2 linked regions of the Sus scrofa genome follow. The protein of the gene in region 2 interacts with the protein of the main gene of each other region in a pairwise test. Links are inferred from orthologs where the notes say so. Each region holds a gene or a part of one and is shown on either strand. Other genes may lie near its edges.

Region 1 (7,096 bases), on a different chromosome or scaffold from region 2:
AAGAGCCAAGGTCTGGACCCCAGGGGCAGGATGTAAGGCAGGGGAGCCAGCACAGCCACAATCTGATTGGAAACTGATGATGTGCTGACACCAATCAAAAAAAAAAAAAAAAATTTCCGTGACTCCACAGAACAAGTTTGGAGCAGGTAAGTGCTGGATATTGCTATGGACTGAGTAGCATCCCCCTAAAAGCTGTTAAAGTCCTATCCAATAATACGTAGAAAGTGTCCTTTGGAAACAGGGTCCTTGCGTAGGTAACCCATTTCAAATGAGGCCATTAGGGTGGCCCTAATCCAATATGACTGACGTCCTTATGAAGGAGACTGTTAGGGACAGACGCCCACAGATGGAAGACAATGCCAGGGCATCTACAAGGTAATGCCCCCTGTGACTGCCAGAAACTAGGAGCCTGTAACACACCCCTAGAGCCCTTGGAAGGCGCACGGTCCTAGAGACTTCTGGCTCTCAGAATCAAGACCACACAGCGGCTTCTGTTTTAAGGTAGTTTGTGATACTTTGTTATGGCAGCTCCAGGAAATGGGACTGGAATCCACATGGATCCTTGGGTAATCAGCCTGTGGTTTTGAAGTGGTTTCCACAGCTGGCAATACAGATTTGAGTCAGCAGGTCAGATGCAGCTGAAGCAAGGAAGCAGAAAAGGTTGATCGGGGAGCAAGAGGCCGTCCTGGATTTGGTCCGGTACCAGTGAAGTCAAGCATCCCCAACCAGCACATTCCAAACAGATGGGAAACAAACTCCATGTTTCAGCCATATGAATGGATGCTGAGCTTCCAAACATTTTGAGATGTGTGGCTATAAAGATCAAGAGGTGGAGGCCATCAGAAGAGAAACCAGGGGCTGGACATCAGATAAAGGACAAAGAAAACAAATGGGAATTGAATGTGTGGACCTCGGGGCACCTTCCGAGTGCATCCACTCCAGTTGCTGCAGCGACAGCAATGGAGGGAAACCCCAGGACCCCATGGCCACCATCCCTGCTCCAGCATGGGATGCAATACCATCAGGCAAGGGACAGCCACCAGCTACAGCACCAGTCCTGTGGCCCCAAGTGAAGGCTCTTCCAAATGTGCCACAAGCCATGGGAGAAAGTGACCAGGGGTCAGAACCCAGTGTGTTGTCCACTAGGTCAGCTGAAACCCTCCCACTTCCCTTTCAATGCAATTTTCCAATGACCAGCTGGCCACAAAACAATTCACGCTGGCCAGAGAATGCAGACAGGCCAGAGTGTCGACCTGGCTACTCCCCAAAGGACACAGGCAAGATACAACCTGTGATCTGGGGCCTCCTCATCCCAGGAGCCTACGAAGGCAGGCTCCCATGCCTGGAAGCTCACCCAAACGGACACAGGTCCCCTCACCCCAACATCCCTGCCCAGAGCTGGCCTCAGGAAGCAGGAGTTGGCCCGGCTCTGGGAACATCCCAAGGGCTCAGGGCCGCTGCTGCCCGTAGGGCTCTCGGGATCCCACATATCTTCCTGACAGTTCTGAGCCCCCATTACTGCCCCACCTGGGCCTGGAGGTACCTAGCGCAGACCTCACCCGTGCAGAAGAGGCCCTGCCCGGGAAGACGCACAGCTGACTCGCACAGACAGCAGCAAAGTCTTCTCAGCAGAAACGCATGTGGGGCAGGTGGAGTTTCTCCAACTACAGAAAACCCTCCCTCGGGGTTAGGACTGAGGCTCCCCTCCAGCTCCTGGCATGTTGCTGTCTCCTGTTTCGCCAGCCTGTTCCCCAGGAGGACTCCAAGCTCTGCAGAAACTACCAAAAGCTCAGCTCATGGACCACAGGCTACCAAGGGGGCTGGCCTCAGCCAGGGAAGCAAGAACACACAGGGGATTCTGAAGATGGCAGAAGAGCTGCAAAAGGGGAAGTGTGGCAGGGGCCTGCGGGACCCACGTGGTGCCTGGCATGGCCCTCGATGGATGACCACAGCTGGCATGCCCAGCCTTCACTCTCCCTGCAAACCTGTAAGTTCCAGTCCATACAGCCTGGCTCTTGGCCCCCAGATGGCCATGCAAGGTGTACAAGATGCTGCCCAGTGCTCAGTGTTCTGTGGCTTCCAGGAAGGAGAGGGAGGCCTGGCCTGGGGGCCACGGCCCAGGCCAGGAAACAGCAAAGCTGTTGGCAGAGGCCCCACCTTGAGCCCCGACGCCCGCGCTTCTTGAGTCAAAGCGAGAGGGCACCAGTGGTGGCTGAGAAGAGTGCCGACCTCGGCAGCCACCCCCAGGCCTGGCCACAGCACAGGCTCCAGCCACACCCACGTCCACGGACGACCGGGGAGGAGGCGAGCAGAGAAGGGCACAGTCAGGGTCCCGGGTGTCCCACCCTTTACTTTGCCTTGTGCCAGGTCCCAGGCAGGCCGCCCTCCTCGACCCGGCTACCCGGAGAATTTGAGTGTTACAGCAAATGACACTATTTGTAATTTCTAACCCTGCCACGGCCTCCCCCCAGAAAAACTGTACATGAGTTTACAAACATATTAACATATAAATAATGAGAACTGTCCCTGCGGAGCCTCCCAGCGGTCTCTGCTCCAGCTCCAGGCGAGCGCGGGGGCGGGGCGGGGGCGGGGCCAGTGGCGCGGGGGCGGGGCTGGGCGGCTCCTCCAGTAGCTCTGGTCCAGCCATCAGCCTGGTCCACACCTCCCCGCGGAGATCCAGACACCGCGGCATCTCGGGCCTGAGGCGGCTCTGCTGCCCGGTCATCGGTCATCGCTCCGGCTCAAGCTCGTGCTGGAAGGGGCGCTTCTTCTCCCGACAGTGCTTCTTGTGCGCGGGCCAGTCCTTCTGCTGGCACTGGGAGCCACAGTAGCGCGCCACCTGGCAGCGCCCACAGATGTTGAACTCCCGGAGCTGAAAGGACACACAGGTCACGCTGGGGAGTCGGCTGTGGGGCACAGACTACGCGAGGACCCGGCAACCCCTGCACTGGGTGGAAGGGCCTGGGCCCCGGTCAGGCGGCGACAAAGGGACAGCCACCACAGCCGGGAAGCTGCAAAAGGGCAGCTCTAGGAGAGGCCTGGGGTCTGTAGGGACCAGACCCCGGGCAGGGCTGGGGCGGCCGGAGCCAGCTGCAGCGCACCTGCTTCTCAATCATCGTGCAGGGAGGGTAATGGCACTCGTAGTAGGTACAGGACGTCTCCTCCTCTTCCACCACGTCCCCGTTGGCATTGTAGTACCGGGTCACGTTCAGGACAGGGAACTGCTCCTCTATGGGGTCCGTGGGAAGCTGCTGAATCGCGAGCCAGTATAAGCTTTGCTCCCTTAAAGAGAGAGGCAGACGCGTCAGTACTCTTTGGCCAGAAAGAGCTGAGGCACGGAGGTGACAAGGACTGACTCCAGGGATGGACAAGAGGCTTGCTCATCTCAGGATGCCTCCCCCACATTCTGATTGGCAGCCCGACCTTCCTCTGGCCCACCCCGACGCCGGGACTTACTTCTCTGTAACCTCAACCGCAAAAAGGTACAGGGCAGGGCTGTGTCTGCCTCGCTGGTCAATCACCCCCACCCCTCGGACAGCCAGGCACACAACAGGTATGTAGATCATGTGGTCTCAGCCCCAGGCCCAGCCAAGCCTGCGCCCCCTGAGCAAGGCCAGGCAGCCTCTCTCCCTGCTGGTGGCCGCAAGAGCACTGGCCTCTGCACCTGGCTAAGCCGCCTCTGCTTCGGTGCCGCGTGCGGCTCTACATCTAACCGTGCATCTTGCTGGAGGAGCTCGAAGGTCACAACCGAAAAACTCTGCCTGATGCTCAAACTGAGGTGCCTGCACAGGCCTCGCAACAGGTACAGGAGAGGGGGGCAAACCCCAGGGAGGGAGCAGCTGGCCTTCCAAGGAAGCAGCACCCGCACCGTGATGGCCAAGGACCGGGTGAACCATCCCCTGCCCACCCTCCCTGGTGGCCAAGCCTGGAGGGACCTGGTTAAAAAGGAAGGGTCGCCCTCTTCGAACATCGCATACAAAAATGAACTCAGAATAGACTGAGGACCTAACAAAGACTCCAACTATAAAACACTCAGAAACATCAGACAAAGCTTCATGACGTCGGCTTTGGCAATGATCTTGGATATGACACCAAAGGCACAGCAAGGAAAGAAAAAGTAGACACAAGGAGTCCGTGAAAAATCCAAAAGTTCTGTGTATCGAAAGGCAATCAAAGGAGTTCCCTTCATGGCTCAGTGGTTAACGAACCCAACTAGGATCCACGAGGATGCAGGTTTGGTCCCTGGCCTCACTCTGTGGGTTAAGGATCCAGCGTTGCTGTGAGCTGTGGTGCAGGCTGCAGACACGGCTTGGATCTGGCATTGCTGTGGCTGTGGTGTAGGGAACTTTCATGTCGCAGGTGCAGCCCTTTAAAAAAAAAAAAAAAAAAAAAAAAGGCAACCAATAGGCTGAAAAGGCGACCTACACAATGGGAGGGGGGAATCATCTGCACATCATCTAGCTGATGAGAGACTCAAGTCTAGAATATATAAAGAACTCTACAACTCAATTAAAACCTAAAAGTTTCCTGGTGGCACCGTGGATCCGGTGTTGTCACTGCTGTAGCACAGGTTCTATCCCTGGCCCCGAAACTTCTGCATGCTGCAGGTGTGGCAAATAAATAAATAAATAAGTAAAAATGGGTAGGAATTCCCACATAGTGCACCAGGATTGGAGCATCTCTGCAGCACTAGGACACAGGTTCAATCCCTGGCCCGGCACAGTGGGTTGCCAGAGTTGCAGCTCAGACCTGATCCTGGCCTAGGAGCTCCATGTGCTGCGCAGCGGCCAAAAAAGAAAAAAATGCTCAGCATCACTGATCATCAGTCAAATGCAGGTCAAAACTATGGGGCGTTCCCCGGTGGCACAGGGACTGAGGATCTGCCATCATCACTGCTGTGGCTCAGGTCACTGCTGTGGCGTGGGTTTGATCCCTGGCCTCGAAACTTCCACGTGCCACCGCATAACCAAAACACAGTAAAAAAAACTCCCCAATGAGACCACCCGACACTCAGGAGATGGCTACTAGCAACTGAACAGAAAGCAAGTGTTGGCGAGGATGTGGAGACACTGGAGCCTCTGCACCGCCGGAGGGAAGTGAAACAGTGCAGATGCCTGGGAAAGCAGCACGGGGGCTCCTCCAAACACTAAACACACAGCCATCACACGGCTCAGCAGTTCCACTTCGGGGCACACACTGAGAGAAGCAAAAGCAGGGACTCGGAAGAGCTGTTCACACAACTGTGTTCGCAGGCGCATTGTTCACAACAGCCAGGTGGTAGAAGCAACCAAGGGCCCGTGGGTGGGTGGACAAACCCAACGTGCTACTCGTCCACTGACGCAAGACTGTTCAGCCTGAGACGGAAAGGAGATTCTGACACATGCTACGCCATGGGTGAGCCTGGAGCACATGAAGGAGGCAGGGTGGAACAAGCCCGTCACTCAAGGACAAACGCCACACAAACCCACTCAGAGGAGGTCCCAAGACTGGCCAATGCATAGACCAGCGGGTGTCAGGGCCGGCCGAGGGGTGGGGACTTAGTGTTTACTGGGGACAGAGCTTCAGTCTGGGGAACGAGGGATTTCTGGAGGTGGAGAGTGATGGCTGCACAGCAATGTGGGTGTGCTTAACGCTACGGACTTAAAATGGTTCAAAAGAAAATATTACATGTATTTTCCCACAATAAAAACATCTCTTAAAGAAAAGGATGAGTCAGGATGTGGGAGAATGACAACTTTCTGAGCTCTTCAATCAAGTTCTGCACGACAGGCGTGTCTCAGTCCCAGCCAGCTCCTAGAGGCATCGGGGGAAGCTGCGCCCCGGTGGGGCAGCCATCAGGGCCCCCCTGAAGCGTCACTGGGGAGGCAGGGCCGCAGCTACGGGCCTAGGAGGGGCTGAGGTGCTGAACCCCACCTCACAGATGGGACGCTGACGAGAGCTGCCACAGAGGCCACTGGATGAGAGATGGAAGGACACGCCAGGCCAAGGGGAGCTCAGGCCACACTCGCCTGCGGCCGGCTCTGCCCCGACAGACGTGCTGAGGAGCTGAACCCCAGCTTGCAAACCAAAGGTAACCCCACCCCTGGGCACTCAGCTCCTGGGACAACCAGCAGGCAGGAGCCTCGGGATGGCCCTGGGCTGCCCGTGAGTGGCCTGGAAGGAGGATGGGACAGCTGGGGTGGAACCTCTGCCTAACGGGTCCCCTTGTCTCACAACACACGGAGCTCAGATGCACGAATGCAACCCTCGGCCACGGGTCATGGGGAGACCTGCCCGAGATGACAGGCTCCACAGCCCAGAGAGTCCAGGAAGAGGCAGACCCATTGCTGGAGGAAGGGTAGGCAGTGCCCCTCCCGTGTCTGCAGTGGGAACCTCACGGACTCAGAGAGGGTCCTGTGCGCGTGCCGGGTGACCCGGGGGATCCAGAGCGGAGCTGCCTGCTGAGCCGCCCTCATTCTGTTGATGAAAGAACCCTCCTGTCCCCAGCATGGAAGCAGAAAGGAGACTCAAAACGATCCAACTGGAGTTGATCCCAGCTTGTCCTCGGCTGAGGAGAGCGGGCACGTGGCTCTGGCAGCTGCTCCTGAGACCTGCAGGAGGCGCCAGGGCTTTCTACATCCCGCGGGGAACCCGCACGCTCCTGCTGTGCTTCAGCCAAATGAGACTCAAGTTTCTGTCACTTGCAGACAGAGGCTAGGCTAACACAGTCCCCCAGAGGATGGGAGTCCTGACTCAACTGTAAAAAAGGGCCAGCCTTGCTCAAGAACAGCATGAGGGGGCCTTGGGGCCGTACTCTAGGAAACACGGACCTGGAGGCCTGGAGACGCCTCCTGCCCCCCTCGCAGAGTCACGGACGGCCCTCCAGGCCTGCAGCAGCCTTCTTCGCCCTGTGGCCTTCTTAGTCCTGGGGACTATTCTCTACTGCCAAGCCCAGTTAGCAGGCTCATTCTGCCATTTCCACCTGCACTGCATGGGGCTCTGCCAGACACTAACCCGAACCATTGCCAAGGTTCCACCCTGTCTCCAGCTGTTGTGAAGCTCCTAAGAGACACCAGACATCCCCCGCCCCCCCGACTTCTGTCTGCAGGGGAGATGA
Region 2 (7,651 bases):
TGCCGGCCAGATGCTCAGGGACTGGTGGGAAGGGGGCCCAGCAGAGATGCGCCTGGGCTGGGACCTTGGCTGAGGACGGCAGCAGAGCGGGGCCACCTGGGGCCTCACTCCATCCTGCCCTACACCGCGTGGGGCACATCCAAGGGTCCCCGCAACAAGGCACCAACCCATTGGACCGAGGAGGCTACAGGCCTGGCTCTCCTGCCCTCCTTCCCCAGACCCCTGCAGGGAGGGGCCCGATGGCTCAGGTCATTCCAGGTCCAAAGTCGCCGAGTCACTAAAAGGCAGATGGAGAGCACGCACAGCGCCCCCATCCCGCCTCTCCCAGGACACAGGGCTGGTGCAGGGGACGGAGTGGGACAGGAAGGGGGTGCCCCTGGGTGAGCAAGCATCCCCCACCCCCCCACCCCAGAGTCCTGTGTCATGCTCCCGTCAGGGCTTTCTGACCTCACGCCTGGACCCATCTGTGACTGGTCCTGGGGATTGACTCCCTGAACCCACTGGGTCCTGCCTGCTGTCCCCCCCTCCAACGTCTAACACACATATTTCTGGGGGCTCCCTGAGTTTCCCAGGGACCCACCAGCCACGGCCTGTGCTCACAAGTCCCTGCCGCCCGGCTCCATCCAGGCCAGGGAACCCCACAGACCTTCTTGGACCCTGCCTGGACCACACCCCAGTGCCCACTGGGGATACCAGCCCACTGGTGCCTCCCTCCGCCCCCACCCCCTTCCATTGCCCACAGCAGAGGCAGACTCAGCGGAAACTGTCCGTGAAATTTATTGATGAGAAGCATTGACTGAAACCATTGAGGACAGAGAGTGACAACACAGAGAACAACTTCAAACAGCCGCTGGAGCCCACAGGTCCCACTGCCCACCCCCGGTCCCCAACTCAGTGCCTCAGGAGCAACCCCCACTGTGACCCTCCCTTGCCCCATGGTCTCCTTCCTGAGGGCCCCGCGGGCGGCCTCTCGCCAGGACGATGGACCCCAGCAATGTCCCCTCCCCCCAGGATGCCCCCTCCGCCTCTGACCCACAGCAGGACACGCTCCACCACGCCAAGGAAACTGAGTCACGAGGAGAGACGGGCTGGAACCGCAGGACACAGTGGAGCCTCCCGAAGTCCCCGCCGGCCACGGGTGGTCCAGGTCTTCCTTCTGCAGGTCACGTGGTGGGCGCTGGCCTCGCCCTCGTCCATCCTGTCCTTCCCACTGTCTCCCGGGACTGGGCCGGGGGAGCTACTCAGAGAAGGACACAGGCACATCCCCACAAGGACGCATGGCGGCGGGGGCCTACATCTACGCCCAGAAAGCAGACAGTGAGCTCGGGACACGGGACCACAGCAAGCAGAGCCTTGGCTGGCGCTGAAGCTCAGGCCACCTGGCAGGGCCCCGAGGTGGCTGCCTGGGTGGGCGGGGGACACCTGGCCAGGGCTCAGGGGCACCTCAGGGCTCTGCAGGGGAACCAAGGTCAGTGCGTGTTTGGAGGGGAGGGGAGCAGGGAGCGGGGTGCCTTGATACGTGGGTCACGAGGGGCTACAGAGACACAGGTGGGCTCCCAGCACAGGGAGGCCCAGGCACCTTGACACGGCCCCTAAGGTCTCCGGGGCCAGTGTGGGTGGCAGGCGTCTTCGGGTGCCCCTCACCTAGGCTGGCTGCCTGGGTTGCAGGCTTTGGGGCTGACTTTGGCATAGGCAGCTGGTGAGTGGTGATTTGCCAGGCCAGTCCCAGGTCTCCAGCGGCACAGACATCAAACCGAACCAAACGCCCCTCCCTCCCACCCACCAATCCTCTCTCCTCCTTCCCGTCTCCTCCCCTCCTTGTCCCTCCTCCTCTTTCTACATCCTCCTCCCTCTTCTTCCTTCTCCTCCTGCATCTTCTCCTCCACTCTCCCACCCCTCCTCTTCCTCCTCCCCGTCCTCTTTCCCCGCCCTCTCCCTCCTGCTCCTGCTTGGGAACTAAAGTTTCCTTGCGCTTGCACACCCACTCGCACCAAAGCAGCTGTGCCCACTAGGGTACCCTGCACCCTGCCTCTCAAGCTGAGCCTCTGACACGGAGACCTTCTCCGCACAGACTTTGCTGACCTTGTCCCCACAGCCCTTCCAGCTTAAGGGGGAGGAGGCTGCCTGTAGGCTGGTGCTGGGCTCCCAGGGCCTCTGGGTCTCCTCCCCTCACTTGCGCAGAGGCTCCAGGGTGCTGCCTTCCTGGGGCTCCCCTAGAGCGGTGTAGATGATCCTGAAGACGGGCTGGACCCTGCGGGCTCCCCTCCGGGGCATCTCTTCTCCGCCCCACAGCTCTTCCTCACCAGCGCTGGCTCCTTCCAGAAGGGCTGGCCCCGGGGGAGGCTCCCCTGGGCCCCACATGGCCTGGGGGCCCATCAGCTTCATCAGCTCAGAGCCTACCCTCTGGGCATTAAGGAGTGGCCAGATGCCAGGGTCCATGCCGGAGCCCCCCACCACACCTTCTTCAGCCTCTTCTGCCTTGGGGTCTCTCTCCGAGGCTTGGCCACCCCACCTGCCGAGTGTGCTGGCCCCCTGCTTGCATTGCCAGTGCCTCTCCCAGGCCCTGTGCTGACTGGCCCTCACTGGGCTGCATGGGGCTTGGTTGGTAGAGCCCCTCTGAGCTGGCAGAAGACAAGGGGGCTCGGCCTGGGCCTGGCTGCCCTGCCACTCTCTCCCCCTCAAGTCCCCCGCTCTTGGTGTGGGCTGCTCCTTCATCTCATTAAAATATTTTAGTTGCCTGCTAGGGGAAGGGGTGCCTGGAGTACTGAGCCTACGCTTCCTAGGGCTCGGGGTGGCTCATTGCCCCAGCCCCCATCTCGTTTCCCGACTCTGCTGCTGCAAACTGAGGCTTCTGTTTGCTGGAGCTTGGTTCTCCACGCTAGGACATGCTGCCTGGCTGTGGCCTCCCTCCCCACTACCGTAGCAGCATGACATGCGCCTGCGCTTCAGGGACAGGCTAATCCCTTCCTGGATGGTCTGAGTGCTGCTCTCGTTAAAGGGCCCCGTCTGCACCACGACCTGAGGCATTGGGACACTGGCTTCCACCAGCACCGGCCTGCCGGAGGCCCTGCGGCCCCTCCCCACTTGCCTCTCCTTCGTCAGGCCCATGGTGGCCTCCCACTCCTCTTCATCTCGAATGACCTGCATTAACTCGAGGAAAGTGGGAGCACGACCTCGCTGATCCAGGAGCTCTAACTTGGCCCGGAGGCTGGTGCTCATGCAGGACCGAGCCAGGATGTGTTTCAGGCGAATCATGTCTGTGCTTCTCACGGACAAGGGGCTATTTTGCACGGCTTTCTGCAGCAGGGGCTCTAACCGTAGCAAAAAACTAGAGATTTTCTCTCCCGATTTCTGGAAGGTCTGGAGGAACTTAAATTGTGAGGTTCTGCAGTCCTCTTTAGTCCCAAAAATTTGCTTCAGGGCGTCCAGACACTGCTCCACGGTCATAGATTCATCATTGGCCCGGAGCACCCGCACGACAGATAGGGCAGAGCCGCGAAGGCTCTCCAGCAGACGGCGCCTCTTCTCGACCTCTGACACCTGCCAGAGTTGCATCAACTCAGTGACGTGCTCCAGCCAGCCTTCAAAGCTGTCTTCGTCTGGGCCTGGGAAAGTGCTTCCCGAAAACACTCTGAGTTTTCGGTACCACACATTTTCTTTCAGAGGCTGCAAGGCTGGTGACCTGACCTGATCCGAGGCCTCTGGCTCCATGCCCTCAGTGGGAGTGCTATATCCCAGGGTCTTGGCCACATCTACCATTCTCCGGCCCTCGTCTTTCAGGAAGTAGTTGAGTCTATTCATAAACTCATCATCTGAGCTGCGGGGTTTCACAACCACTTCCCAGGCACCTCCCTTTCCTGGTATCTCTCTGGGAATCATAGCATAATTGACAGTATCAGCCAACTCAATGAAAACTGCCTTAGCATTATCTTCCCTTCTGAACATTCTGCCCAGCACCCTGTAGGTGCACAGGGGATGTAAGCCTGCCTTCACGGTCTCTTTAATTTCAGCCTCACTGCACTCCACGGGGATCCCCACAATCAGCAGGGCCTTCCTGGGGTCCAGGTCCATCCCCTTGCACCAATCCTCCAACAGTGTCACAGCCATTGCTCCCACTTTCTATGAACTGATCTAATACCAGGTGCAGGGACCAGCTCACAGAGTTTGATCAGGACTCAGGCAAGTCAAGGCCAAATATGAAGGCAGAATCGTCCTGGGTTTCCACAGCCTATAATGTGAATGGGGTGAGAGCATCATTAATGGCCACCCTCCCATCCCCACCAAAAGCCCCTCCTCTGCCCCCACTTCCACTCACAGAACCTCATTCTCTGCCTCACAGGGCTCCCCCAGTCATTTGGTGGAGGGGTCTCTGCAGGCCAAGCTCCCCCCACCTCACTCTTTCCCTGCTGACCTCTGCTTGCCGTGGGTTCGTCCTCAAAGTCCGAAGACCCTACTGTCTGTGCTGGAAGTGCCTGCAGTGAAAAATCCAGCCTCAGGAGGTGGGGCCTAATGCCTGGGAACACTTTCAAAGCTCTCCAACTAGGAGAAGACCAGAGGCTGTCCCACTCCCTGGCTCGGGGCTGTGCAGGCCCAGGGCACCTGGTACCCTTACTGCTGGGGCAAAGTTTAGAGGACAGAGATGTGGCGTTCCCTCCTTTCTCAGGATATGCCTGACAAAGGAGAAAGATGGCTGGAGCGCTGCACAGGGCATTGAAGCTGGTGGGTATGGAGAACGTGTGACAAGCTGCAGTGTTGCCATGGATGAAGCATGTGGACTACGGGTTTCACAGGGGGTGTCATGCGGAAAGGCTAAGGAGCAACAGGTGATGTCACTGGCCTCCAACCCATGAAGAGGGAGGGGAATGGGGGGGGGTGGGCAGCAAGGATCAAGTACTGAAAAAGAACTTAGTTTCAAACTGTGTAGAAGCTAGAAGCAAGGACAGAAAAGGGACTCCAAAAGGGTCTCCAGTACCACACCGTAGGAAACAGACAATGCTCACCCTGGCTTTGACCTTACTCTGCCAGACCCTTGGCAGGCAGGCAACCCCGCCCCTCCTGCTTTTCATCAGGGTTACAGAAGCCTCTGCAACACAGGCCCACCTCCCAGCTATTTACCATCTGATTAGGGACCCATTCACAGTGCAGATGAGGGGATTTCACCCGCACTCAACACTAGGCCTGCCCTGGGGATCTGGCCAGTCAGGCAGTTTCTGGTCCTGGGGTGGTGGGTACTGCTTCACTGGATCTGTCCAAGGCCAAGCACAGGTATTTTGCTATGGTTCTGGCTGACATGCTGCTGCTCTGCCTATGCCAATTCTATATACAGAGGTGCCCACAAGTATTCTGGTACTGGAATACAAGAAACTGCTCAACTGGTACTCAGTGCTAGGGCAGGTTATTACCTTTCCTCAGTTCCACCCGGATCTCAAACTCACTGCCAAGTCCCACTCCTACTGAGGCACAAACTCCATCTTAAGCTCCACCCCACCTAAGCTCAACCCCTCACACCAAGCCCCACCGCCACGGAAGTTAGACCCCTGCTCCCACCAACTCTCATTTCTTCCCATGTCCCATCCCCACCCCAGCCCCACCCCCGTGACACCAAGCCCCACCCCCATGGCAGTTAGATCCCTGCTCCCACCAATTCCCATCTCTTCCCATGTCCCATCCCCCACCCAGCCCCACCCCTCACCCCAAGCCCCACCCCCACGGAAGTTAAACCCCTGCCCCCACCAACTCCCATCTCTTCCCATGTCCCATCCCCCACCCCAGCCCCACCCCCGTGACACCAAGCCCACCCCCATGGCAGTTAGATCCCTGCTCCCACCAATTCCCATCTCTTCCCATGTCCCATCCCCCACCCAGCCCCACCCCTCACCCCAAGCCCCACCCCCACGGAAGTTAGACCCCTGCCCCCACCAACTCCCATCTCTTCCCATGTCCCATCCCCCACCCCAGCCCCACCCCCGTGACACCAAGCCCCATCCCCACGGAAGTTAGATCCCTGCCCCCACCAACTCTCATCTCCTCCCATGTCCCATCCCCCACCCAGCCCCACCCCTCACCCCAAGCCCACCCCCACGGAAGTTAGATCCCTACGCCAACAAGTCCCACCCCTTCCCATGTCCCATCCGCAACTCAAGTCCTATCTCTAAAGAAGCGCAGTACCCAGCCTGGCCCAATAACTGCTGCCACTCAAACCACATCCTTTCGAAAGCCCTGCCACCACGCAAGTCCAACTACTGTCCCCAGAACTCCCACCCTCATTCCCCCGTCCTCCCCACCCACACCTAGGCCCACCCCAGTAAGTCCCCCCACCCCTTCACACACCCACTACCTCAAATACCCCTCATTCCAGAGCAGGAATATATCTAGTCAGTGAAAGTTGGTGAAGTCCAGGAGAAGGGCTGAAGCCACTTTCCCTCCAGAGAAGCTCAGAGCCTGTCCCAAATGCAACGGCTGTGGACAGGATTAGCTGTAGAATAGGCTCCCCTGTAATTCCTAGGCTGGTTGCAGTGCCTGGAAATGGCACGGAAATGGTGGGGGTGCCAGGCCTGATCTAGTAGGATCACGCTTCCAGGGGAAACCTATAGCCACCAGCCTCTGGGATGCCAAGAAAGAGGCGAGGGCCAGTGGAGGAAATCCCGCATGGTTGGGTTGCTCTCTGTGCACAAGACCCCGACCCGTACCTGCTGGAGATGCCTCCGGGCCAGAGCACCCGAACACCACAACCGCTAAGCGTCTGTCGCCGATGCTGCCACGGTGCAGACTGAGCGGGAAACTGGTGGCGCCAAGAGGTTGTTGGGCGACAGACCCCCCCCCCCCCCGCCCTGAGCTGCACACGGCACACTTGCGGCTGCGCCCTGGCAGCGTGGCGCCCACCACACCACCCCTTGAAAGGGGGATTCCGCGCCCCGACCTGTGCGCCTGTCTCTGCTGCGCCTAGGCGGATAGAGAGTTTGAATCAAATTGAGAGCGCCCTACATTGCACAGCCGGACAGAGTGCAGCCTTGGATTAGCTCGAAGGAGATGCCATGCCAGCCACGTGCCACGCCAGGCCCAGCAGCCATTTTGGCTCTTGTTTTGCATGTCTGTTCCCTATTGGACAGGGGCTGTGGTCTGACAGTCACCAGTCACTCTCACTATTTGAATATTCCAAGCGGTCGGCACAAGGTCAGGTGCAAAAGTGAAGCCCAAGTGGGTGCTTACTGGAGGAAATCCTGATATAAATTTTTTTAATTTGCCTTTTTTCTAGTGGTGAACTGCAAAAATACAGCAGCTTCCTATGAATTACAAGGGCATGAAAATATTTAGGGTTCGCTGAGAGATGGAAAACTGTCAAAGGATTCCATTCTCCCATTATTCTCTTGACTTCATGACCAAGTATTAACCACCTAGTACCCAAACTGCTTCCCGCTCTTTTCCAAAATTCTCCCACAGAGGGAAGACCAGAATGTTTTCCCTGAGACACGGGACCTGAACGCTACTTTCACGAGCTATTCGGGAAAAGGGCGTGGGTGGAGCTCAGGTTATCACACCAGAAGGTATGCACAAATCTCCAGGAGGTCTTGATAAAAATTCAAGTTCTGGGACGGGAGGACTTGGGACTGAGATTCTGCCCTTTCTGGAAAGTTCGGTGACTCGGATGTTG

The links. The genes of interacting proteins can lie anywhere in the genome.
Region 1: the proteins of PNMA5 (region 2) and ZMYND19 interact in binary tests that used the Homo sapiens proteins (3 or more experiments, as listed by UniProt). The two-hybrid records come from large-scale screens. The link is inferred for Sus scrofa from reciprocal best matches to the Homo sapiens genes PNMA5 and ZMYND19.

What each region holds. Positions count from the first base shown.
Region 1 is NW_018084833.1:413,081-420,176, reverse strand, and holds the end of ZMYND19 (zinc finger MYND domain-containing protein 19), read right to left. Parts: intron 3,283-7,096; coding exon 3,102-3,282; intron 2,873-3,101; coding exon 2,729-2,872; 3' UTR 2,331-2,728; downstream 1-2,330. UniProt on the Homo sapiens protein: May be involved as a regulatory molecule in GPR24/MCH-R1 signaling.
Region 2 is NC_010461.5:123,995,493-124,003,143, reverse strand, and holds PNMA5 (paraneoplastic antigen-like protein 5), read right to left. Parts: upstream 4,210-7,651; 5' UTR 4,108-4,209; coding exon 2,797-4,107; 3' UTR 1,943-2,796; downstream 1-1,942.